Linked DNA regions of Coturnix japonica. The protein of the gene in region 1 interacts with the protein of each later gene in a biochemical or structural test. Links are inferred from orthologs where the notes say so. Each region holds a gene or a part of one and is shown in the gene's direction. Other genes may lie near its edges.

Region 1 (12,065 bases):
ATTTGTCTTTTGTTGGATTTTGGCTAGGTGCTCTCTGGCCAGATCCACCTTGATCTACAGAAACTATTCCTTTCTCCCAGCCTCTCTCTCTTGCCTCCAAGGTCCAGGATTCCTGAGAGCTAGTCTTAGCATTAAAGACTGAAGCAAAGAAGGCATTCAGAATCTCTGCCTTCTCAGCATCTGCTGTTACCAAGGCACCCATCTCATTTAGTAGGGGACCCACATTTTCCCTAGTCTTCCTTTTACTGTTGACATACTTAAAAAAACCTTTCTTGTTATCCTTTTCCTCCTTTGCAAGGTTTAATTCCAAGAGGGCCTTAGCCTTCCTCATTGCATCTCTACAGTGTCACTGTGGTGTCTCCTCTACAACAGGCGGAATAGACATAATACATGTCTATTTCTTGCATCTGTTTCTTGGTTAGACAAGATTCTTTAAGATTTCCTACTCACACAAAGTCTCTTCTCTGCACATGGTCATATTCTTCTGAAGTGGTTGTGTCAAGGTCAGTTTAAAGCAGCTTTAAGCATTCAGTGATTACAGAAATGCTGTTACATTTTCCTCATCCCATCTTTTCTTGATTTTTGTGGTATTTAATGTTTGTGGTATTGAAAACCTTGGTTGCAGGTAGCAGAGCTACCCCACTGTACATTTCAATAAACATTTCCTGGTCTTACTAATTACTGCTGAGGGGAGAAAATATATATATTTTCATGGCCATCTTTGAGACATCAATCTATACCTATAGTTACGTTGACATTTATAGCATCTCCAGTACAGTTACATTTAGACATCACAGCTATGTAAGCTGTATGCTGTTTTTCTTTGGAGTCAATAAAGCATTTGAAACTGAAATAGCGAGTGTCCTACTAAAATAGCAAGCATCTTACAAAGATGTCTTACACTGCTCTCATTCGTTCAGAATTTATGGTTGTTTTGACCTTTTTTAGCTCACTACTGATTTTTATCTTTTTTGGGTTTTTTTGGTTTTTTTTTTCTGATACATCAAAGTTTTCAGCACCAGAATTATCTCCTGGAAGGCTTGCTTAGACATCTAAATATTCTTTTATTTCTATTAGTTTATCCATTAGCATTACAAAGTACCTACAGTGCCTATCAGTGCCACTTCTGCCATACCTGTGAACTAGTCAGGAACTATTTTGGGGGATAACTTTGTCACTCACACCACCTCTCATGCCAACTGCTTTCTCGGAGGCATAAAAAGCACGTTACTTACATCTTGTTTAGCTCTGCATCTGAAGAATTTTGCCATTATACATTTTTTCTTGTATTTTTCTTGTATTTTTTTTTTCCATTTGCTGGAAGTCTATGGCAGTAACTGTGTTTCACCATACCAGACTGCTGCTTGGACATAGCCAAACAATGTTGCAGATCAAGGCTGTGCTGTTAGAAACTCTATGTTTCAAAGGCCAGCCAAGTTATTTTATGGTATTACTATTGGGTTATGCTGTCAAACAGGGGAGGAAAAAAAAACACCAAACAGACAGTATATGAGCTAAAGCAACTACAGTGCTAGGTCTGATACTTTTCAGTCCTGCTACTTGGTCACTACATCTCATTAACAGTTTGGTTGCTCATGCTCAATATGTGATCCTCATTTTGCACATTACTGACATAATTTGATACACTACACTGCCCTGCTGTATAATATTAGAAACAGGTACAGAGTTGCACGTGTATGTCATTGTTGTGATGTTCACCTTTCTGTAAGCCTCTGCCTCTTTTTCACCTTTACAATTGCAAGTAGACAAAAGCATCACCTCAGTGGACCTTGGTTATTCATCTGAACTGTCATTCTGCATTACCCTCTCCACAACACAATTATGATACCTCATACTTTCTCTGCAAGGAAAGCTTCCCACAGGAGAAAAAGCCTTTGTTAGGACATATACTGATTTCATTTTTCTTTCCGTGTTAATATTTCTTCCACTTGAATATACTATCTTTTAATTTCAGAATATTTTCATTGTGCTTTTGATGTATTTAGTAACAGTAAAAACAAGTTGAGTCAGTTGAGTATATTAATATATGTTAGGACACAACTAATTGTCAGTGGCTTATTTGCCACTCATCTAATTAACTGTACAATCTTGTTGTATTTCTTTACATTGTTTTTCAATCTGGGTTTCAGTACAGGAATCTCTACAAGCAAGTGTTCCGTCACCTCATGCTTCAAATGAAGCCTTTCAAAATATTTCACCTGCTAGTAGGGCACATGGTGCACCAGACACTTCTGAATTAGCAAGAATCTTACCTCAAAAATACAGAAGGAAACTTATGTCAGCTGAAGAGATTGAATATATTCAAGTAAGTCTCAGTAACTGTTGTGTGTTCTCTTATTTACCCAACCTTCTTTGTAGTTCTGCAGGTCCTTAAAAGTTGCACATGAGATAATAGATTGTAATTTTTGTTAAGAAGAGCTTTTGCAGTGTTGATACGCAGTACCAAAACAACAAATCCTTGATGAAGGAGGTTCACAGCTCTTACTAATTAGTAGCTTGTGTTGTCACTGTAGGATCCATATTTAAAGCAAAGGTAGAAAGGCAGTGATAGGTAGAGCCTACACTAAGCATATTCCCTTCTTGTTTTATAACCATTGTTTAGTGCATAATTTGAATATGGGAGCACAGAATGCTGTTCATGCTCTTGCCAGGTGACTGAAGTACAAAATTCATAAAAACTAGTTTGGAAACTGTTATGTAATAGGAAGTTAATTTTTGCACTTCTAACAGTTGGGAGCATTTTAGTTAAGCTTGATGCAAGTATTGCCTAAAATATTTGCAATTGCTGCATAACATGGGAAAGTCAAGGCAGAACTGCTTTTCTTCTGGAAGAGTTTTCAAATGAAAACATTTTTACTTAAAAAGGGAGAGTGCACAGAATTTGAAGAGCTAGACAGTAGCTTTCTTAAATGAGGACACTTAAAGGGTATAATGGTACTAGCGGAAATCTATATTTCAGCGTGCAAGTGGGTGACTATTTAAATTCAAAATAAAACAATCACTTTCCTGTAGTTACATACTTCTTTACCTCTGTTTTTGGTTTGTTGTTTGTTTGTTTTTAACCACAAGGCAAGTTGTTAAATAACTTTGTCAAAATAGTGAATTTCTGATTTCTCATAAAGATTATAGTGGGTTTCTTGGGCTTTGCTTTTACTTTGCCCCTTGGAATTTGGGCAGTAAAAAAAAAATCCAAAGCTACTACTACGGCTGTTTGTCTCATCTTTCCAGAGTCACTAAGTGTCATGTTTCTTCCAACTGAGAGGATAGGGAGCAGCTGCAAATATAGGTTGCAGAGGTTTTTATATTGTTTATATTATTCCATCAGGCACAATAAGCTATTAATGACAGGCAATGATTTTTCTGACATGTAGCATGTTCCATTACAGATTAAAAATCAAAGCGTAAAAATGAAGTTAAATCTAGGACTTGTTTATTAATCTATAACTGCAAAAGAAGACTGGATATCAATTTCCCTTTCTTTTAGAGGAAAATAGTTAACTCTGTCTATTTTTTGCTTTACAGCGTGGAGGTCCAGAATAAGTACGGAAGATATTTGCCACCAACAGATATCACCACTGTTGAAGAAAGAAGTATTGTGTTCATCATAAAAGCTTTTCCTTAATATTATAAATAATGGTATACTGATAGCTTTAATAAAAACCCTATGTGAAGGTGTAAAGGTTGACACAGCACTATTAATTGGTGATGAGAGATTTTCTGTTGATGACTAATAGCAAATGATGGCTACATCATTAGAGTATTTTTCTAACTAGCCATTCTATGAATTTGGCAGTAGAACAAATTGAGTTGCTTTATTTTCCTTGTTAACAGGTCTTTTCATGGCTGATTTCATGGGCAAGATAGACACACTCAGAGACTCCAGAATGGCTTGATTTGGATGGAACCTTAAAAACCATCTATTTCCAGCCCCATGCTGAGGGCAGGGCTGACACCCATTAGATTAGGCTGCCCATGGCTCCAGCTAGTCTGGCCTTGAATACATCCAGGGATGGGGGCATTTACACCTTCTTCAGACAAACTCTTCCAGTTCTTTGACTCCTTCCAACCCCCAACACGAGTTGATAGTTTTCCCCTACCATCTGATCTGAATATCGCCTCTTTTAGTTTAGAACCATTTCTCTGTGTCCTGTCATCATCAGACTATATAAAAAGTCCTACGATGTCCTGTTTATAATAAGCTGCTTTTAAATAAGTTAATTCTCCTGAAGTTCAGGATCCCCACTCTGCTTTTTGTCAGGCCCCCGTTCCTCATGATCACAGACTCAGCCAGGACATGGTTTAACCTCCTTAATGAGCTCTGTGGGGCAGCTGCCCGCTCCGGAGCTAATCACACACAGCCATCAGGGCACGAGCAGCATCGCACAGCGTGTGCCGGGCCGCAGCCCTCCTAGTACCCGCCTCCGAGCTGACGGCATCAGGCTGCGCGCTCATGGTGCAGGTAGGCGGGTCTGGAGGCGGGCGCCGATAAAGGGCCGTGCTGCTCTTCCGTTGTGCCTCGTTCTCCGGCCTTAGGGCTGTGCTGCTTTTCCCAGCTGGCAGCCATGGATGCGCGGGCTCGTGCTAAGCGCTATGAGAAACTAGACTTCTTAGGGGAGGGACAGGTGAGCGGCCGGTGGGTGCGGTGTGGCCGCCGGGGCCCTCTGAGGGGCGGCTGGGTGCGGGAGGGAGCGTGGCTGGCCGGGCCGATCGCCCTCCCGCTCACCCACCGTAGTGACTCTGGCTCTGGGCTGTGGGCTGCCCTGCCGCCGTGGTCACGCGTCTCTTTCTCTCTCTCCCTTTAGTTTGCTACTGTGTATAAGGCAAAGGACAAGAACACGGGTCAGATCGTTGCTATCAAAAAGGTGAGTGTTGGAACACCCCGCTGTGGTGTCACTGGGAGCCTTGTCCTGCACGGTGCTTCTGTTGAACTGCTGTCGTGTGTAGTGTGTGAGAATTCACAGGATTGGTACATTGGAAAAGAAGATCATGTAGTCCATGGGTATCCAGCCTTAATGTCCTGTGCTACGCTGGGAGAGGTGGAATTGTGCTGGACTGAAAACAGTGCCTCCATTTTACTTCTGTGGAAACTATAGCAGATAGAGCACACTCTAAGTTACCAAGAACTATTTTTCAGCATAGACACCACCGTTAATTAGACATTTTCACTAGCAATGAGCTAAAGCCTGCGTGCTGTGTTGCCATAAATCTGTATGAGTGGGGATGACTTGCTGTTGCTGTCACCTGAGCTGAAATTCATCACCTGCTCCCTCACTTTGCTCACACTTACTGTTTGATCTCCATAAATGTTCAGCAAGCTTCTATGAATGTTATTAGGTGCCATTTTTCTGCATGGAGAAATTCAGCAACACACTTTTGCTTCCTCTGTGCATCCATGTCAGATGTCGTTTTGTCAGAGTACCCCCCGCTGCCCTTTTGTCAGATAACAACACCATGTAATGGGAAGGTTCAGCCTCTTACTGCCATGCTAGCATCCGCCTCTGACATCATAGACCACTAACATAGGAGGCATTACTTGCAGAGCAGCCCTTGTAAGATATTCAGAATTGTTAATGTATTTTAATGAACTTATTTTAATCTTTTTTTTTTTAATTAAACAACTAAACTGTTGGGGATTGTGACTTGACCTTATATAATATGAGGCACTTATTTTCAGATTAAACTGGGACATCGATCAGAAGCTAAAGATGGTAAGTGTTAAAACAAGTTCATGCTGTATAAGCTGTCTTTGTTTGTTTTGCTTCTGCTGATTGGGTGATTGATTCCTTCCCAACCTAGAGGGACAGAAAAAATAACATCCGAAATACAGCATTCTCATACTGTATGTTTAACTGTGCGTATATGACTGTTTAGGTGGAACCCAATCACAAGTATAGCATGGAATAATGATATTGGCTTGCATACTTTTTTTTCTGAATATAAAAAATATGTCCACATGAAAGCGGACGTTGTCTCTTTTTTTTTTCTAAAGAAGGAATTAAAATAGGCAGAGTATCAACTAAGCCATCAAGATCTTTGCATCTAAATCTTCGCTGGAATCTTATATGTTGAATGAAACCACCATGGAAATAACACTGTTTTTCAGCTCATGCGTAGGCAAAACATCTTGCACAACATAATGCAGTAGTGTTTGCTTGCCAGTAAGCCAAAGGGATGTGTATTTTCCTTCATAATCTATATCTTCTAGTTGTTATTCATACCTTGCCTGCAGCAGTCTATGTATTTGTGACAGTCTGCTTGGCTTTAACAAATACATGAGTGCTGAGGAAAAGGACTGTAATATTAAGTAATCAATGAACAACAGAATAAGAGGTTTCTTTGCTGGAGTTTAACTTGAAATTATTAATTATATTCTGTTTAATTATTTTTTTCAATATAGGAATCAACAGAACAGCGCTGAGAGAAATAAAATTGTTACAGGAACTAAGCCACCCGAATGTTATTGGTGTAAGTACAGTGAATTTTTGCTGCAGAGACTGGCTTCAGAGAAGGTAAAACTGCACTGGGAAAGGGATCTGGAACAAGGGATCTGAAGTAAAAAAGGCTGCGCTTGTACTGGGGAGCTGCCAGCTTGTGGGTTGGCTCCTGAGTCAGCAAGGGTGGAGCTGGCACATTAGCGGCACAGTTTAAACTCTAGTCCTTATTGTTTGCACCTGATAACAAGCTTAAAGTATCCTAGGGTGAGCTACCAGGTGAGTAACCATTGTTGCTGCCCACTGAGAATGGGGAGGTTCAGTGAGTGAGCACAGCCCACACTGCCCATACAGTGCTGTGGATGTGGATCAAGTGGTGATGAATGTAAATGTTGTCAGTCTGTGCTCAGGAGACTAGCTTTCCTCTTGGAAAGTCTCTGGGACTGCAGGCCTAAACATGTTCTCTATCAGAAAGCAGGTTTATTCCAGAAAGATTTTGGCAACCCAGACAGAGGGCCTGCCCAGAAATGTAGCTGTTCTCTGGCTGCAGGGAGTGCCTGAGCCTGCTGCTGCCTGGGGAGGGTGGCAGGGATTCCACCTGTGTGAGGTGTGAGCAGGTGGATTAGGGTTCCTCTTGATGATGAGGTCTAGGCAGTGAGTAGCCCTGTGCCTGTTTGTCTCTGCCAGTAAATTGAAAATGCACATGCAAACTAAAGTAGAATGGAATTTTAGGAAACGGGAATTATGAGAGTGTCATTCATCATAGCACATTTTGTTTTACAGCTGTTAGATGCATTTGGACACAAATCTAATATTAGCTTAGTATTTGATTTTATGGAAACGGACCTTGAGGTAAGTCAAATTAAGATAATTTCAATAAATTTCAATATCTTCAAATACATTTTGAAAATGCATTTTGAAAAATATATTTTCATAGCCTTACTGTTACTGTGTGTTTTTTATTTCTTTTTTAGAAAGTTGTCTCATTCTTTCATTATGTAATTTAAGATCATACCTTTAAAAGAGTTGGAATAGTGAGACAGTATTTTCAATTGAAAATGCCTTTAAAGTACTTTCTGTCAGCACCTTTATCAAGAAACGGATTATGTTTACTATATTAGTTTTCTAGGGCTTCAGTCAGAGCATAGAACCACTGATCATAAGCCAGGATCTCAGAATGCAATTGCTAAGCACAGTAACGTAAAACATGCTCAAGTAAGTGTGATATTATTCAAGTATGCCGAGTAATTATCTGACTAGAAGTCACATACTCCTGAACCCTTCTTTTAAATTTGACAGTGGCGTGTGCTTGCAGGCCTGAATCTTAAGGATGTTTCATTAGCTTGTCTGTTGCCAGTACCTTTTTATTGAATACTTTAGTGCAGATTCTTCATTTTGGAGCACTGCTGAGAAGACGTTTTGGGTGACTGTCGTGTCAAATCTGTACATGCTCACATTATCTGTGCTCTGGAAGAAATTAACCCATTATACATGTATATGTAGCTACAAATTCCAGCTTTATCCTAAAGTATAAACTGACTTTTGAGTTGAATAATTTTGTGTTATAAGTTTTTGTGCTTACCAGTCTACCCATATCAATCTAACACTTGCAGGTTATTATCAAGGATACTAGTATTGTATTAACACAGTCTCACATCAAAGCGTATATGCTGATGACACTTCAAGGGTTAGAGTATTTACATCAACAGTGGATTCTGCACAGGGTAAGCATGCTCTAAATGCCCTTATTCCTATAACAAATATCACTTTTGATTGAATTAGTCTGAAAACTGGCTTTCATTGGTTTAGAATGCATAGGGTTGCTCTAGCAGTTGAGTAGTGGCAATTGCAACACTAGAAATGTTAAGAATTACTGACATCTATTGTGTAGATGCTTATAGGTGTAAATCATTCCATAAGTAGTGCTTTCTATTAATTGCCATGGAAACTACAATACAAAAAGCACAATAGCTCTATATGGCAGGACAAACTCTTAGCTACAAAACAGTGTCAGCACCGTTTTCATCAGCAATGAGCAAGAGCCTACATACCACATTCATAAAAACCTGCTCCAGCAGACATCACCCACTGTCTCTACTGGTGAAACACACCACCCTTCTCTTCACTGTGTTCACATCCAGTGTTTGGCCTCCATAAACATTCAGCAAGTATCAGTGAGAATATTCATTTTCTTTCCACACGGAAGGATTCAGTTCACAGTCTCAAGTGAGACTTTTGGTTAGAATTGTGATCTAGTCGGGCTTAGATGAAGTTAACTTTCTACACAGGAGTTTGCATGATGCTCTGTTTTGAATTTGTAGCTTAAAACAATGGCATTTTTCAATCTGTTGAACTCTGCTTGCGCATTGTCAAGCCTTTTTCCACTCTGCCTCTAACCCAACAAAATCTGCTTAGAGTGGGCCAGAAATTGGGAAGGGATGCAGCACGTGGGGCAGCTGACCCAGGTGGCCCCGAAAAATGCTGCCAGTGGTACAACAGTGTAAAATAATAATAATGATAATTAACAATGCTGGGATATAAGTAAATTTTGTCTTCCACCTGGGTGTGAGGAGTTGGCAGTGCAAGCAATGGTTACGTGCCTGCTGGCTGTGGCCAACCCACAACACTGTTGCTGTATTGAACTATACCAATCCCATGACATCTCCAGCTGTCATTAAAATTAGGGATTATATTATTCTTTTTTTTTAACAGTGCAGTAAGACAGAACTAATGTTCCTGCAGCAAAGCAAACACCTACCATAAATTTGTGTTTTTGAACTCTGGAAATTAAATAGCTTAATATTCAAATTGAGATGTATGATTAGTTTTTATTTTCGTTTATGTGGAAATGATGTCTTGTTTGTTTTCTTCATCACAGCATAAAAAATCAAAATATACTCAGAAGAGTAGGTTTTAGAATACTGTTACTGTACTCTTGCTGAAATGTTCGCTGTATGTCTGTTTTTATTAACAATGACAGGATTCCTTCTTTGCTTTCTGCCCTGACAGGATCTTAAACCAAATAATTTGTTGTTAGATGAAAATGGTGTTTTGAAATTAGCTGACTTTGGCTTGGCAAAGTCTTTTGGAAGCCCAAACAGAGTTTACACACACCAAGTAGTAACAAGGTAAGACATTTCTTAGATTGATGGTAACTATTACATGTTACCTTGTGGAATACGCCATGTTAAAACAACATGTTTAAAGTTTGATTTCTAGCTCAAGTGCTATGATTATAGTGGCAAAAAGTTTCATAACAGAAAGCATAATAAAGTGCTTTTTAATATAGTCTCTCTAAGAATGGTTGGAATTTATGTCCCTGATGGTTGTTCTGTGAAATGATATGGTTTTGAAGCACATGAAATTAACATGTATTTACCTATAAATCTAGCTTTCAGAGAGACAGAGTAGATAAGGTTTCCTTTGTCTACTGTAGTGCTGAAACTATACGGTGGAACTATTTAACATCTTCATTCAATTAAAAGGCATCAGTGAAACTGTTGTTTGAAATGCAGTGTATGTTTTGCCGACAGCTTCAAATAATTGCTGCCAGGATGTATTTTGCACAAAATTAATCTATAAGTCTGTTGCTAGTAATGTTTTTGAAAGCTGAAAGGAATTGTGTCTTAAAGTAACATTTATTAAAGATAAATAATAATAAAAATACACTTAATTTTTTTTTTTTGTAATTACTGCACTGCTGCAGCATGCAGCACTTGACATCAAGTGATACCAGGATGTTTTCCTAAAATATTTTTTCTGTTCAGGTGGTACCGATCTCCAGAACTGCTCTTTGGATCTAGAATGTATGGAGTTGGTGTCGATATGTGGGCTGTTGGTTGTATTCTAGCTGAGTTGCTTCTCAGGGTAAGTCTTCAAATGTAAGAATTTTTATTTTTTCTTCAGTGCGTCTTAGTTGTAGGTTTCTTCTGCCCTGCAGTACTGTCACCAATAAAAAGTTAAGCTACTTTCTTGGAGGTAATGAAAGGGAGCAGGGAGGGAACACCTCCCAGAAGTTTGCTACCTGTAAGGAAACAAAATTTTTCACATAAGCTGAGATTCCAAAATCATTACAATTAATGGAAACTTTAAAGAACAGGTAGGCGAAAAAGTACAACACAGTGTCACAGCTCTGCCTTGGGGAAGGTGATTAAAGAGTTACTCTTCCAGTCCTCTTGGTGTTTGCCTTTCACGCAGCCATTCATCAGTTTTCATTTATGATATTTCTAGAAAATCTGGCAGAGTAGGTGTGCATGTACATTCTTATTTTTCATAAATTGTTTCCCAATAATTGGGAATAATTACCACCAGTACATCAACTGTGGATTTATTTGTAATGAGCTGAAAATTTTCTGTTGTTGTTGTAAAATGTGTCTAGTTCACAGGCTGGAGTGAAGCTGAAGATGGTCAAGATTACATAATATCACTCCTACATAAGATACACAGATGTAATCATCCATAAATAGGCTTTATAGGAGTAAGCAGTCTGTTACGTAGCTCTTCTGAAAACATGAAAGTAGGAAATGAAGGTGGGGGGTGCACCAGTAGTGCATGCATAAACATAGATTAGACCACAGGTGTCCAACCTTTTGGCTTGCCTGGGCCATGTTGAGTGAACAGGGATAATCTTGGGCTGCATATGTGGAATGCTACAGAAGTGATGACTCCTGTTTATTTCCATGGAAACAACAACTAATACAAATAGCACAATAATTGTTTGGTAGAGCAAAATCTTAGCTATAAAACAGTGTTTTCCAGTGTAGTCACCGCTATTAGCTGTGCTTTTTTCCCAGTGTTGAACATGAGCCTGCATGCCATGCTTATAGAAATCTGTTCCTGTGGAGGTAATCACTGTTCCACAGCTGTTGTGATGGCATCATTGCTGAGATGCACCATCCACCCTCCTCACTGTGTTCGCATCTGCTGTTTGGTCTCCATAAATGTTTGGCAAGTGTTGATGGATGTCAGTGCATGCTGTTTTTTTTCCCATGTGGAGTGTGTTGCAGCTCTTGCTTCATCTGTGTTTGTGTCAGATGCCATTTTGTCATAGTACCCCTCTGCTGCTGTCTGTCACACAGCAACGTGTAATGAAATACTGGTGGGAAGGTTCAGCCTCTACTGTCATACCATCATCATCTGCCTCTGACTTTGTGGGCCAACATAACAAAATAAAAGGCATTACTTTTGGAGCAGCCCTCATGAAATATATAGTTAATGCATATGAGTAACAAAACTTATTTTATTATTTAATATTCCTTATTAAAACCTAAAAAGAGCAACAACAACATTGACCTAGTGAAACATTTGTCTTTGCCTTTGTGCATTAGCCTAGTCTGATAGCAGTGGTTGCAATTCTTAGTGAGTTGCCTTGGAGTTGATCAGAAATTGTTATGAAATGTTACTCCTTCTGTGCCTCATCCTTGAAAACAGTTGTTCACAAGTATATATGTACTGCCAAAAAGCAAGGGTGTGTTAATGAGGTGTGATTGTGAGGTGAGGAGATAATTCTCTCTGGTAAAATGGGGTTTATTGAGGTACGACAGAGATATAGTCACATTTTTCATTCAAGTTGAATACATAATGCAATTATGAGGAGCGACTCTTAAGTTACTT
Region 2 (12,191 bases), on another chromosome or scaffold:
CAGGATCATCTTTTTTGCCTGGAATTTTGTAAGTTCACTTTTTATCCAGCAGGAAACTGACTTTATAATCTTTATCTCAACAGACCTGGACTTTGCTAGTCTTGCTAAAGGCTTCGCCTTGTTAAAGATGCCGAAAATGCCTGAGCTAAGAGGAAAATGTTTTCCAGATTTTACTCCAGTCACTATTAATACGGACTCCATTCCATTTAAAGATAAAAACAGAGAAAAGCAGAGACAAAAGCAACTTGAACAACAAAGAAAGGAAAGAGAAGAAAATGGAGGAAAAAAGAAATTCATAAAAAACAAATCCTGGTCAAAGCAGAAAGCCAAAAGGGAGAAGAAGAGGAAAGCAACAGCTAAAAGGAAGCGTGAAGAGGTAAACCATGCCAGTCTCTTAAGCTGCGTGTTGTTACTAAATGTACTTGCAAAAGTCAGGGAGCAACGGGATTTTAGTGTGACAGAAGTGAGACACACTGCAGGGTTACTTATTGAAAATAAGCCTTCTACGTCTGCCAGGCAAAGCATAGGAAAAAAAGCTTTTTAAAACCAAATGTTGCAACAATTTCTCATCGCTCAGGTGATGGTGAATTGCTGCCAGCATAGGTTCATAGGCTGCATGGATTGTAGGGGATATAGCAGCACTTCACTGGATAGTTCTTATTTGTTGTTGCTTTTTTTTGTGTTTCAACAAGTGAATTTGATAGATTGGTGGTAGAATTTGAGTATAATTTCCTGTTTGGATGCTGCTGGCAAAATCTAGGTTGTAAAATTCTGTTGTGTTCAGCTGTCTAGAGATGAAGCCTTTGGTGTCGTGTGTAATCTGTTGTATTTCAATGGCTAACAGGGCTCTGATATGGAAGATGAGGACATGGAAGAGTTGCTGAATGACACGAGACTCTTGAAAAGATTAAAGAAGGGGAAAATTAGTGAAGAAGAATTTGAGAAGAGACTAACAGGAAGCCAGAGTAAATTCAGAGAAGCTGCTGCTGACTGAGACTGAAGGTTTCATTCTAACTGGGCTTTCACATTAAGATACTCCCTATTCCAATAAAACTGTATTTTTATAACAAAATAACGATGCAGAGAACAGAATGGGTTTAATTTCTTCATCAAGAAACTTGGTTTCCATAAGCATAGTTAAGAACTGCAGTTGAGAACAAAGCTAAAGGCACTGCCCTTGTGTCATTTGGCTGGAGCTACAGCTTTCCCTCGGTGCATTTATTTCAGGGCTTTTTGTTCACAGATCAGTGAATGACAGCATGTTATGGAATGAGGCTGAATGCACCATAAGTTACTTTATTTTACAGTACTAAAATACTTGACCCTCTTCTCCAATAATTCATTTAAGGAATTCAGAAGCTGTAACAACTTCCATTTTTTTTTCCTAAACAGTGGTTCATCCACAGGTAATGCCTTAAACTGAAGGTTGATAATGACATGAATCCTTGTAATGCTGCCTCCTCACCTTGTCCACCCCACTTGTGTCACCTCCCAGGCTCTTACAGCTGTGACAGTCACTGAGGATGGTACACATTGCACACCATGTCCATTGAGTTACAGATACAGTTTAATGAGTTCGTCGCTGACAGCTGATGGAGTTAACACACCAAGGTCTGTAAACAGTAACGTGATAAGTGATGGTGACGTGTAGTCAATCCAGGGATGTTCCTCTGTTAGATTCTGACTTGTTTTCAGCGTGTCTGCTTTGTACTAGAAGGAAACAAGACCGTTAATTATTACACAGCTGCGAGCTAAAATCTCTCTTGGGCTGGGGCAGTGCTATAATCTTGAGCAGATATCTGTGGTAAAATGGAGGGAAGTCAACTGCTTTAAAATGAGGCATGTGCTGCCACCTTGGTCTCGAGTGTTTTACCTTCTATCCACCATACAACTTATAGTTCTGAAGTGTCTCGATGTAGCTGTTTCTTGCCTGCAGCTACTCCCGTGCCCCAAAGGAATTGCTTTGGTAACTCAACAAGAGTATTAGGACAAATTGTGGATGTTGGAGGTCTGACTTGAACATGGACCAACTCTGTACTGTGTCAAGTTAACTACAGTAGAGAGATCCAAACAAATGAAGATGTGCTTAGAAGAAAATTGCTCACAAACAAGTAAGTGGATCTTAGTTTGCCAGGAAGCAACCTGTATTTCTCTTACCTTAAACTTATCTGGGACATCCTGCTGGTTTAGAGGGAAGAGTCTTACAAACTTGAAACTTTCTGCCACCACATAGAACGGCTTGTTCTGAGCTTTGGCACACACAGCAATCTGATTGGTGCCAATCTGTGGAGACACAGAAAATAATGTGCAGATTCCATGCTAGCATGACTTAATATTGCCATGTTTCCAATAATAGACTTTCACTGATTGATATCCAAGAATATTTGAATAGAGTTTCCAGATTGATGCAATGCGTTCTCTTTTACCTTGTTAATAATGCCTCCGCTTTCTACTACACCTTCAGCACCAACTAAGACCAAGTCCACTTTCTCCATAATGTAGCTGTTGAAGAAGGGGAAGAGATCCAAGTCTTAGCAAATAACGTGACTCATTGAACAGAACAGAGATAAGGAATTCCAACAGTCTCACTTTTCTAAACTAGTTTTAGCTGCTGTTAGTTAAGTAAGACTGTGTTGTTCGACATCCTTGGAATGAGCTTTCGCCTGCTTGCTCAGCAGGAATGGTACAAGCCATGTCTGACCTTGACAACTGTGTAAGCGATGGGAGAAATCCATCAACTGTAGTCATTACATGGCAAAATATGCTAGAATTTAGCATTTAGATTGAAAACAAACACAACATTTAGAAAGAAAAATCAAAGTAGTTTTCTTTAGTACAGCAGCTCCTTCACATATCCCCAGGCTCCACGCATAGGTTGATGGAGTCAGACCTTATAGGCAAACATCAAGGTACAAGTTCTGCAGCAGGCGTATTTGGTTAATCATGCACCTAAAGTGTCACTTGTTCAGCTTGTTTGATGACTATGACAAATGAAGTAACAATTCCTGTGTTTAGAACAACCTCCTATGGAACTTAAATGGAACAATGTTAAAATTGGGATGAACGTTAAGATTTAATGATCAGACTCACCCAACTGCAGCATCCAGTATCACAGTCACAGGAATGTTCAGTTTCCTCAGGGCTTTTGCCATTTTTTGCCTGTTATATAAAAATGAAGCTTAAAAGTCTTTCTTTAAAGATGATAATAGAAAAACAATGTCTGAAAGAATGAAACCCATGACTATCTATGTTCCTACAAGGCCAGCAGCTTTGAAGTTATGACAGAATTGATGCTGGCTGTAGTTTATCCTCTTAGCCAAGATGAAGCACAAGTTAATGAATACTCGCCCTGCTTGGTCTGGCTGTGATTCAGTAACATAAACGCTGAATCGCTTCTTTGACTCAACAGCTGCTTCTAGCACCCTGAGGACCACTCGTGAGTAGGCGTGTGTCAATATCCTCTGTCAAAAGAGATTAAATGTTACTTCTTACTGAGCTTTAAAACCTTCATTTCAGTTAGGATGAACAGGGCTTTTACTTCTGTCAGTGTCCATTGGTGTTATGGTCTCAAACTAAAAGAGGGACAATTTAGATGGGTTACAAGGAAGAAGTTAGTTATGATGGTAGTGAAGCACTGGCACAGGGTGCCCAGAGAGGTGGAGGTGCCCCATCCCTGCAGACAGCCATGGTCAGGGGGTGGGGCTGTGAGCACTGATGGAGCTGTGGGTGTCCCTGAGCACTGCAGGCAGTGGGACTACATGAGGTATAAGAGTCTCTTCCAACTGAAATGACTCCATAATTCTATGATGTTGCTCGTATTTACAGATTTTAGGAGAGGATGCCACGCTGTGAGATGGGCAGGAATAATAACACCACCCCCCTGCTTTCCCAGCAGCGCAGGCAGCAGAGCCAGGACACGAGCAGCCCTTGTTGTACTTACAGCTCCTTGTTGTACTTACAGCTCCGTCTCTGATGAAGGGATGACACAGTTTGGCGATTTTGTTCCTGGACAGAGAAACCTTCCTGAGGAAGATCTCCCCGCGCTCGATCATGATTTCTTTGCACTTGGAGTAGTCCTGGAAAGGACACAGCGCTGCTGCCGGCTGCCCTGCAGCAGATGGGCCGGCAGGAGCCCGCTCCTTACCGAGTACTCGAGCGACGTGAGGCTGATGAAGCGCAGGAACAGCTCCCCGCCGGAGTTGACGGCCACGGACGAGTCCACCCGCGACAGCGTGTCGATGGCATCGCGCAGGCTGCTCCGCAGGCCCTGGATGGTCTCTCCTATGGAGACAGGGCACAGCGGGGGATCAATCGGGGCCGGGCCAACATCGCTTCGTGTCCGGCCGCCGGGGATGGGCGCCCACCTCGGTCCTGCCGCAGGAAGCCCAGCAGCGCGCGGATGGCGGCCACCGCCGAGGCGACGTCGGGGTCATCCCTCAGCTGCGCCCTGAAGGTCTCGATCAGGTCTGAAAGGCAAAGAGCCGCCTCACACTCGGCTCAGCCCGGCCCCCACAACACCCTCCATAGAGACACATTACCGTCCGTGCTCATGGCTGCCCCCGCCCTGCTCGGTGCCATGCGGCGCAATGCGATGATGTGCGGTATGACGACACCAGCGGGCGACACCAGCGGCGGGATGGGAGCGGGTGAGAGGAGCCGGCCGAGGGGGTCGGGACGGGGGGGGGATGAACCGGGCCGAGTCCAGCTCAGCTCAGCTCAGCTCAGCTCAGCCCCCGCGGCTCCGGCAGCTCCCGGCCCCCTGCAGTGACCCGCTGTGTGTTTTGCAGACGAGGAGCTGAGCCTGCTGGTCATCGTCATCGACACCAACCCCATCTGGTGGGGGAAGCGGGCGCAGGGGGAGGCTGAGGTGCGTCCCGGGGCCGCTTTTATAGGAAACATCGGTGGGAAACGTGAAAAGTATCATCAAACCGGCACAGGGTGCACGGGGAGGTGGAGGTGCCTCATCCCTGCAGACACCCACAGCCAGGGGATGGGGCTGTGAGCACTGATGGAGCTGTGGGTGTCCCTGAGCACTGCAGGCAATAGGACTGCATGACCTTTAAAGGTCCCTTCCAAATGATTCTCTGGTTCTACAGTTATGCATTTGTCAGAGCTTTGCTCAGCTGATGCCTCCCGTTAGAAAGGAAGCCCTGCACCTTCTAGTTCTGAGTGCAGTTCTGCGGTTGGTTCCTGTAGGTGCTGTCCTGCTGAATTATTCTTTCCCTTGGCAGTTCACCCTGTCGAAATGTGTGGACGCAGCGATGGTGCTGGGGAACTCCCACCTGTTCATGAGCCGCACCAACAAACTGGCCGTGATGGCCAGTCACACGCAGGAAAGGTACGGCAGCCGCTCACCACCATGAGTGTGACGTGTTGTCCACTCCCTGCCTCCTGGTAGAGAAAGAAATGGTCTGTTTTAATGCCTTATGGAAAGCAAGACAGAGTCAATGCATCAACGTATTGAAAGGAGGGAGGTGAACCATTTGTGTCACAACAATTTCCTGCCTTATGAACCCTATTTAATGCCTGAAGTATTAAAGTTATTTGGAGTTTTACTTCAAAATATCGCTGTCTATGAGTGGTCAGCTGATGTCATTTCTTCCTTACAGGCTGAAAAGCAAACCGTAACACTTTGTTCTTCCTCTCTTTTAGCCGTTTCTTGTACCCTGGGAAGCGTTGGGCTTCTGCGGATCTCCTTGGAGATGGTGGTAACTCCGTGGAATCCAATTGTTCTGGCAGCAAGGATGGAAAATATGAATTGTTAACTGCAATCAATGATGCAATTGCAGAAGAGATTAAAGACCTCATGACGAAAAGTAAGGGAATAAAAATTCTGGGTTTCATAACACAGAACTGCAAAATGTTCTCTGGGAGTTGCAGGAATTTCTTTGGTTCATTTGGATTTTAATATGTTTAGAGTAGGTGAGTTTTTATGGCTGATATTGGGTGACTCTGCAGTGATTCAACATGGCGAAGATTGAACTGTAGCACTCAGTGAGATCAGGCTGAGTGAATGATTTTGTGTATCAGAGTAATCTGTGTAATTTGCTTTGCAGCTGACATGATGGGCCAGCAAACAGAGACTCTCCTAGCAGGGTCTCTTGCCAAAGCACTTTGTTGTATCCTTTTGATGGCAGAACTTTTAAAGGCTTTTGTCTGTTTCTTGTCATACTAATTATCCTTCAATACAGTCTTGACTATCAGTGCATTCTATAATAATTTTCAAAACTGAAACATTTGCCTTATAATTGTGGATCAAACAACGTGTGTTGTTTGAGGTAGTGAGTACATAGCATGGGTGCTGCTGGTGCTTCCATGAACAGAGTGTGGATTCCTTGATGTTGTCTGATGTAGATATTAACAAGATGAGCAAAGAGGTGAAAGGTAATGCCTTTAGAGTGCTTTCACGAGTATTTGAACCTATATACCTAATATACCTAATTGCTTTGGGGCAATAAATGACATAGGCCCGCTTTCGTAACGTCTGAATTATTCTACAGATAATTCTACATGTATTTCTATACCACTGGGACTATCAGTATTTACATTCACATTGTCTGAGACATTAGATCTGTCATTTTGGATGTTAGATTGATTGGATTTACCTTAGTTAAAATGTCAGGTATCGTAGAACTGTAGGGACAACTATAGGGAATGGATGTACTCATGTGCTTTTATTTTCTTTTTGCTAATCAGCCAATCAGGAAATGAAATCAAGGATTTTGGTAAGAGCTTTGTTGTTAGTCTACTATTAGCCTTAAAATACATCAATGCTATATGGGCTAACAAGTCTCTATTGTTTTATTTAGGTCATAAAAGCTGCAGAAGACAGTGCATTACAATATATGAATTTCATGAACGTGATCTTTGCAGCACAGAAACAGGTGAAGCTATTTGATATATCTTATCTTTTATTAGCATATAAAGAGTGAAAAAAAATGGTTCATTTACATTATGGCTGTGATCTGGTTAAAGAATCCCTGGAGTGAAGACTGTCATGCCAAGAGTGAAAGGTAACCGAGGTTAAAAGTCAGATCCTACTGCTACATCTTAACGTGAAGGGTTTGCTGGACTAATAAGAGATTGCTGTGAAAGAACGGATGGTAGCCTTCTGTCCCGCCTTGCAGGTGCTGTGTACAGGATACCTTTGCTGATAGTTCTTTTATTGCCATACATTAGAAGGGAGGTGTTAGAATTCTGGATGTTTGTTCTGACAAAGGGAATGAGCTTTCTTATTGCTGTGGTGGTCCTGCAGCTGTAAAACATGGATGAGGTTACATTGTTCCTAGCTGAACTCCTTTTTTTGTGGGTCTCTTTACTTGCAGAGTATTTTGATTGATGCTTGTGTCTTGGACTCTGATTCAGGCCTTCTACAACAGGTACAAGCTTCCTATTCTTACTTGCTGTTTGCTTTAATTCATAGATACTTGATGCTAGATAGTTTGATGTGTTTTAAAGCACTCTCAACTTTTTCAAACCAGAAAAAGAGACATTATTACACCCTTCTATGAGACAAGGCCTAGGTATTTTATGTTGGTGAAACACTGTCTCTTTTTCTCAGTCTTTTTGTACCCTCCTATTCTGTAACAAATTATTATTGCTTTGTTCTTCTTCCTTGGCTAGTAGAAACCATTGCCTTCCTGTTAAGACTGAGCTATCTGATCATTCTCTCTGCATTCCAGGCTTGTGACATTACAGGCGGCATATACCTTAAAGTGCCCCACCTGCCATCCCTCCTGCAGTATTTGTTGGTATGTCTTCACTTGCTTTTTCCTGTGTCAGATGTGAAATCTTACTGACTTCACTGACACGATGATACAGCCATTTCCACACTATTTTTTTCCCTGTTTATATAGTGGGTATTTCTCCCTGATCAAGAGCAAAGATCACAGCTTGTGCTTCCACCTCCCGTTCATGTTGACTACAGAGCAGCGTGTTTCTGTCATCGAAATCTCATTGAGATTGGTTATGTATGCTCGGTGTGCTTGTCAAGTAAGTTTATAAATACGAGTTGAACTTCCTACATGTCAAATGAGCTATTATTAGTGACAGCCAATCCTTTTATTTTCCAGTATTCTGCAACTTCAGTCCAATTTGCAGTACATGCGAGTAAGTTTTCCTTCTTATTTCAGGAGTGGGTCTGAGAATGCATTTGTTGTATCTGACAGTTCCTTTTTATGTCATTTCAGGACTGCCTTCAAAATATCACTGCCGCCTGTCATGAAAGCTAAGAAGAAGAAATTAAAGTTAGCTGTCTAACGATGCAACTTAAACACACCGTTACTGCTCCTGTTATTCCATGAAGGGGGATGTACTTGAACAATTGTTGACACTTTTTACAGGATATGAAAGAGAACTGTATGCAGTCTTACTGCTTTTTTTCTTAAAGTATTTAAGCCATTTTTTCTATGTAGTAACAAATCACTGTGTTAGCAGGTAATCTGTGCTGTCTTAAATACTGTTTATTCATTGTAATTAGAACCAGAAGTTACAGGTTGTTAAGATGCAGGTCTTGCAAATTTGGAAGCATTCTTGCTGCTGCAACTTCAAACTTCCAAGTTATTTTCCAAGACAATAAAGTTTTGGTTGTTTTTAATCACATGTTGGTGCAGAGGTGAGCTGTCACCACTGCTGATGTGTAGGGACTGAACCTCAGCACCGCTATTGAAGGACCTCAGTGTTCTGTGAGCTTTCAGTGTCTGTCTGGGCACTGAAATGGGGTCAGCTTCGGAAGAAGAAAGCCAAATGTTTAAAGATTGCTTAGAACACACCTTCCTGTCGAGGGTGTTCATTCCTTGGCACGTGCACACGCACTGTGTCATATGTTTTTATTCTCTTTATGCTTTTTGGCTCTCTTGGATAGCTGCTCCTCAGTAACTGGAGCAGTAATATGGAGGTATCCTTCCCAGGGGAATTTTGACCAGAAGACCACATTTATGTGTGAGAAGGGGTTTATGTCTGTAAAATGACATCAGTAAATGTCCATGAGGTGGTCAGTCTTCAGTGCTGTGCTTTGAAACTGGAAAGGTTTCAGATCAGTGTGTTTTGTATTTGAGTAGCAGCTATGTGTGCCATGTCCAGGCGTGCATCTGGCTTCGGTCAGGGCGGTTGTTGTCATCAGCTCCCGTTCTCGTCGCCAGGAGCCACTTTGTTTGCAAGTTGTATCTATAATTCTGTTCTTACAACACCTTTTGGAATAAAAGCAGTTCTTTTTACAGACATGGATGCTGTTCGGCCTGTTGGTGTTTGTGAGGCGGTCTGTGGCACGGCGGGTGATTCCCGCCCTCCTGGTTGCCGTGGCAGCAGTGCCGCCTCAAGATGGCGGCGCTCAGTGACGCTATGGCGGCCGCCGGGCTCGGGGCGCTGCTGCTGGCGGCTCTGTGTGCGGGGCAGCCCGGTGTGTGGGAGGGGGCGAGGGGAGGAGAAGAGAAGGGGAAGGAAGGGATGAGAGGGGAGAGGGCCGCAGCAGCCTGTGCGGGCTGAGGGGGCTCGGCCTGGTGTGCCTCCCAGATGCGGCGCTTTGAGGGTTTCTGTGTTACAATGTGATTCTTTTCTAAACTTTCTCTTCCCCCCCAGTTTTTCAGCCTTCCTTTATCCACATGTCTGGGCTAAGAGTCAATTCGTTTTTTCTTGGAGATTCTTCAGGAGTTACGTTTTCCATTATTTTAGATGCTATCGATAAAGAGACAGGTAAGAACACTTTATTTATCTACCCGCTATTTCGAAAAATAATAAATATATTTGAATTCTTAACTTTTTTTTGTTGTTGTTGTCATTACAATTACCCAAATAACTGCAGTGCAGTTCAAAGAATCATCACAGAACTGTTGGAGTTGGGAGGGTCCCTCTGGTGCCCCATTCCCACATGAGAAGTTTGAAGTGACAGTGAAACAGATAACATACATATATATATATAATATATATTAATAATATATATATGTGTTTGTTATGTTTTAATTTTGATACAGGAAATTTGCTCCTTCCAAACTGCGGTGGAAATGAAAGAGCTGGTGACTGGGAATTGAGTGTAACAGCTGGTGTGGTATGTAAAACACTGCTTCTGCCCTAAGATAGAAAAGCTTGAGCAATCATATATTAAAGGCTGATGAAGTGCTAATGTAATATTAGTTTACTGACAGCTCAGTTAGAGTGCCTTCCCTTTTTGCCTTTGTTATGTCCCATCATCTGGATGCCCATGTTGGAAGTTGCTAAGGTGCAGCTTTGATGCTGGTTTCTTGTCTTTCTCCTTTCCCGAACTGCCTGTGCTTCCCGGCAGGTGATGATACAAAGAACAGTAATTTGGTACAAGCTGTTGAATCCATCATTTTGTGTTTTGCAGGGTTCATCCAAAGTGACTGTAACCTTCACTAGAAATCTCCAGTTATGTTTGCCCAATGCCACCGACTGCTGCACAGCACCTCTCTGTGTGGTGGAAACAGTTCAGGTTTTAGCTTGCAGTGGTTCGGCGATGCTGGCACGTCTCATAATTCAAGCTGAAATATATGCCAACTCTTCCTTTATGGGAAATGTGTCAGGTAAGTACTTGGATATCCTGAGGAAGAAATGGTATTTACTTCCCCTTTCTGTACCAGAAAAAAGAAAAGTAAAATTGGGAATTGGACAGCAATGAGAGATTAAATTTCTCTAGCATTTAAGGATTTATATGCAGGTGGGATTGGCTGTAATGCATGTTGTCTGCTTCTTGGGATTCCAGTCTGTATGACCTGAATTTTCTCTTCTTTTCTTGTAATTCTCTTACAGAAATCATGTCTGTCATCCCTAACCAGGTGTTTCAGCCCTTGGGCTCATGTCCTTGTGACTTGACAGATGGAGCTTGTGATGTTCGTTGTTGCTGTGATCCGGTACTTATTTCATATTAAACTTTGATGAAATGGTTTTAGAATTTCTATGTTCCTTCTGTTGTCTGGAGGGAGAATTACTGAGTATTTCAAAGTAGAAATAGGGTCTGCCTGGGTTTTGTGGTATTTCTAATAGTAAATATGACATCTGTCTACAGGGCTGGCTTGGTTATCTGCAAATACAGCACTAGAGGCCGTGGTGGTGCAATTATGGCATTAAGGTGTTCTTTTCCCTTCCAGGAGTGTACACCAGACTTGAAGCAGTTATTCAATGGATCGTGTTTCACTGGAGTGTTTGGTGGGGATGTAAACCCACCTTTTGATCAGCTGTGCTCCACACAGACAACAGAATATACTCCTGATTGGTTTCCCTTCCTTTGCATACAGTCTTCTCTTAGCAATACACCATTTCTTGGCTATTTTTATGATGGCTCTGTGTAAGTCTGAAAATATTTCTTTCCTCAATACACAATTTAGACATTACATTGAAACTGTAGCATGTATTTTTTACAGTGAAAGTTATTTTGAAATTATAAATCGATCACTTTAAATGTAAATGGAGAAATATAATTGGTACTTTGAGAGCACGGGACTGGAAGGCAGATATTTAATTCACCATGTAATGTGAGGAGTAAAGAATTGTTTCATTTTTGAACTTATTTGCAGTTCTGCACCCAGAAGTTCTGCACCCAGAGTTCGTCCATTTAGGATCCCTGTACAGGCTTCTCCTGGGAAAGTGTTCACTGGTTACAGAGCAGGAGATCCAATTATGACAGAAGATGACGAGTATTTTACCATCCCTCAGGTAATTGCTCCATATTTAGGAGCTTCTGATTCCTCTTGGCTAGTTGAAGTTCTCCATTTATCACATTCTTTTGTGTTTGTAACCAGATTCTGTAACTTGCTCTTATGAACTGGTGGAATATATTTTTCACCAAGCACAAAATCATTGTTAATAACAATAATTATCTTTCCTCATCCCCTGCCCACCCCTCCCCTTCCTTGCCTTTAAGGCTCACATACGTTTCTGTTCAACTACCTGCAGCCGTCCCTGGCAGGGCAGTGTGCTGGAAATGCCCCTGTAGCGTTTCTGCAGGACTTTGACGTGAGGTGCCTTTCTGATGCAGCATCTTACAAGGAAGGACTGTCCCATGATGTGAAAATCAACAGTGGAACAGGAGGTATGTCGCATAGTCCTAACAGAAATGTAGTTATGTTCTTCAGAAGTAGAATTAACGAGAGGACTGTTGACGTGGCAGCTACATGGCTATAGTTCAGTGTTTAGGGATGTTATAGTCCTATTTCTGATCACCTGCCAAGCTTCTCTGTATT

What was found.
Region 2: the proteins of CDK7 (region 1) and GTF2H3 form a complex in vitro, tested with the Homo sapiens proteins (2 studies listed by BioGRID). The link is inferred for Coturnix japonica from reciprocal best matches to the Homo sapiens genes CDK7 and GTF2H3.

Annotation. Positions count from the first base shown.
Region 1 is NC_029547.1:13,172,409-13,184,473, reverse strand, and holds the start of CDK7 (cyclin-dependent kinase 7), read left to right. Parts: upstream 1-4,486; 5' UTR 4,487-4,583; coding exon 4,584-4,643; intron 4,644-4,823; coding exon 4,824-4,883; intron 4,884-5,695; coding exon 5,696-5,729; intron 5,730-6,418; coding exon 6,419-6,486; intron 6,487-7,235; coding exon 7,236-7,304; intron 7,305-8,065; coding exon 8,066-8,176; intron 8,177-9,461; coding exon 9,462-9,580; intron 9,581-10,219; coding exon 10,220-10,319; intron 10,320-12,065. Other genes in the region: MRPS36 (28S ribosomal protein S36, mitochondrial), read left to right, coding at 2,151-2,326, 3,544-3,561. UniProt on the Homo sapiens protein: Serine/threonine kinase involved in cell cycle control and in RNA polymerase II-mediated RNA transcription. Cyclin-dependent kinases (CDKs) are activated by the binding to a cyclin and mediate the progression through the cell cycle.
Region 2 is NC_029530.1:4,198,542-4,210,732, reverse strand, and holds GTF2H3 (general transcription factor IIH subunit 3), read left to right. Parts: upstream 1-4,549; coding exon 4,550-4,646; intron 4,647-4,787; coding exon 4,788-4,867; intron 4,868-5,231; coding exon 5,232-5,338; intron 5,339-5,652; coding exon 5,653-5,816; intron 5,817-6,056; coding exon 6,057-6,119; intron 6,120-6,354; coding exon 6,355-6,384; intron 6,385-6,696; coding exon 6,697-6,725; intron 6,726-6,809; coding exon 6,810-6,884; intron 6,885-7,325; coding exon 7,326-7,379; intron 7,380-7,682; coding exon 7,683-7,751; intron 7,752-7,856; coding exon 7,857-7,992; intron 7,993-8,072; coding exon 8,073-8,109; intron 8,110-8,189; coding exon 8,190-8,259; 3' UTR 8,260-9,219; downstream 9,220-12,191. Other genes in the region: ATP-dependent RNA helicase DDX55, read left to right, coding at 84-376, 845-994; EIF2B1 (translation initiation factor eIF-2B subunit alpha), read right to left, coding at 1,555-1,710, 2,158-2,283, 2,427-2,502, 3,091-3,159, 3,349-3,461, 3,960-4,076, 4,145-4,281, 4,365-4,466 and 1 more; TCTN2 (tectonic-2), read left to right, coding at 9,319-9,397, 9,577-9,690, 9,969-10,042, 10,340-10,535, 10,762-10,862, 11,100-11,296, 11,526-11,664, 11,905-12,040. UniProt on the Homo sapiens protein: Component of the general transcription and DNA repair factor IIH (TFIIH) core complex, which is involved in general and transcription-coupled nucleotide excision repair (NER) of damaged DNA and, when complexed to CAK, in RNA transcription by RNA polymerase II.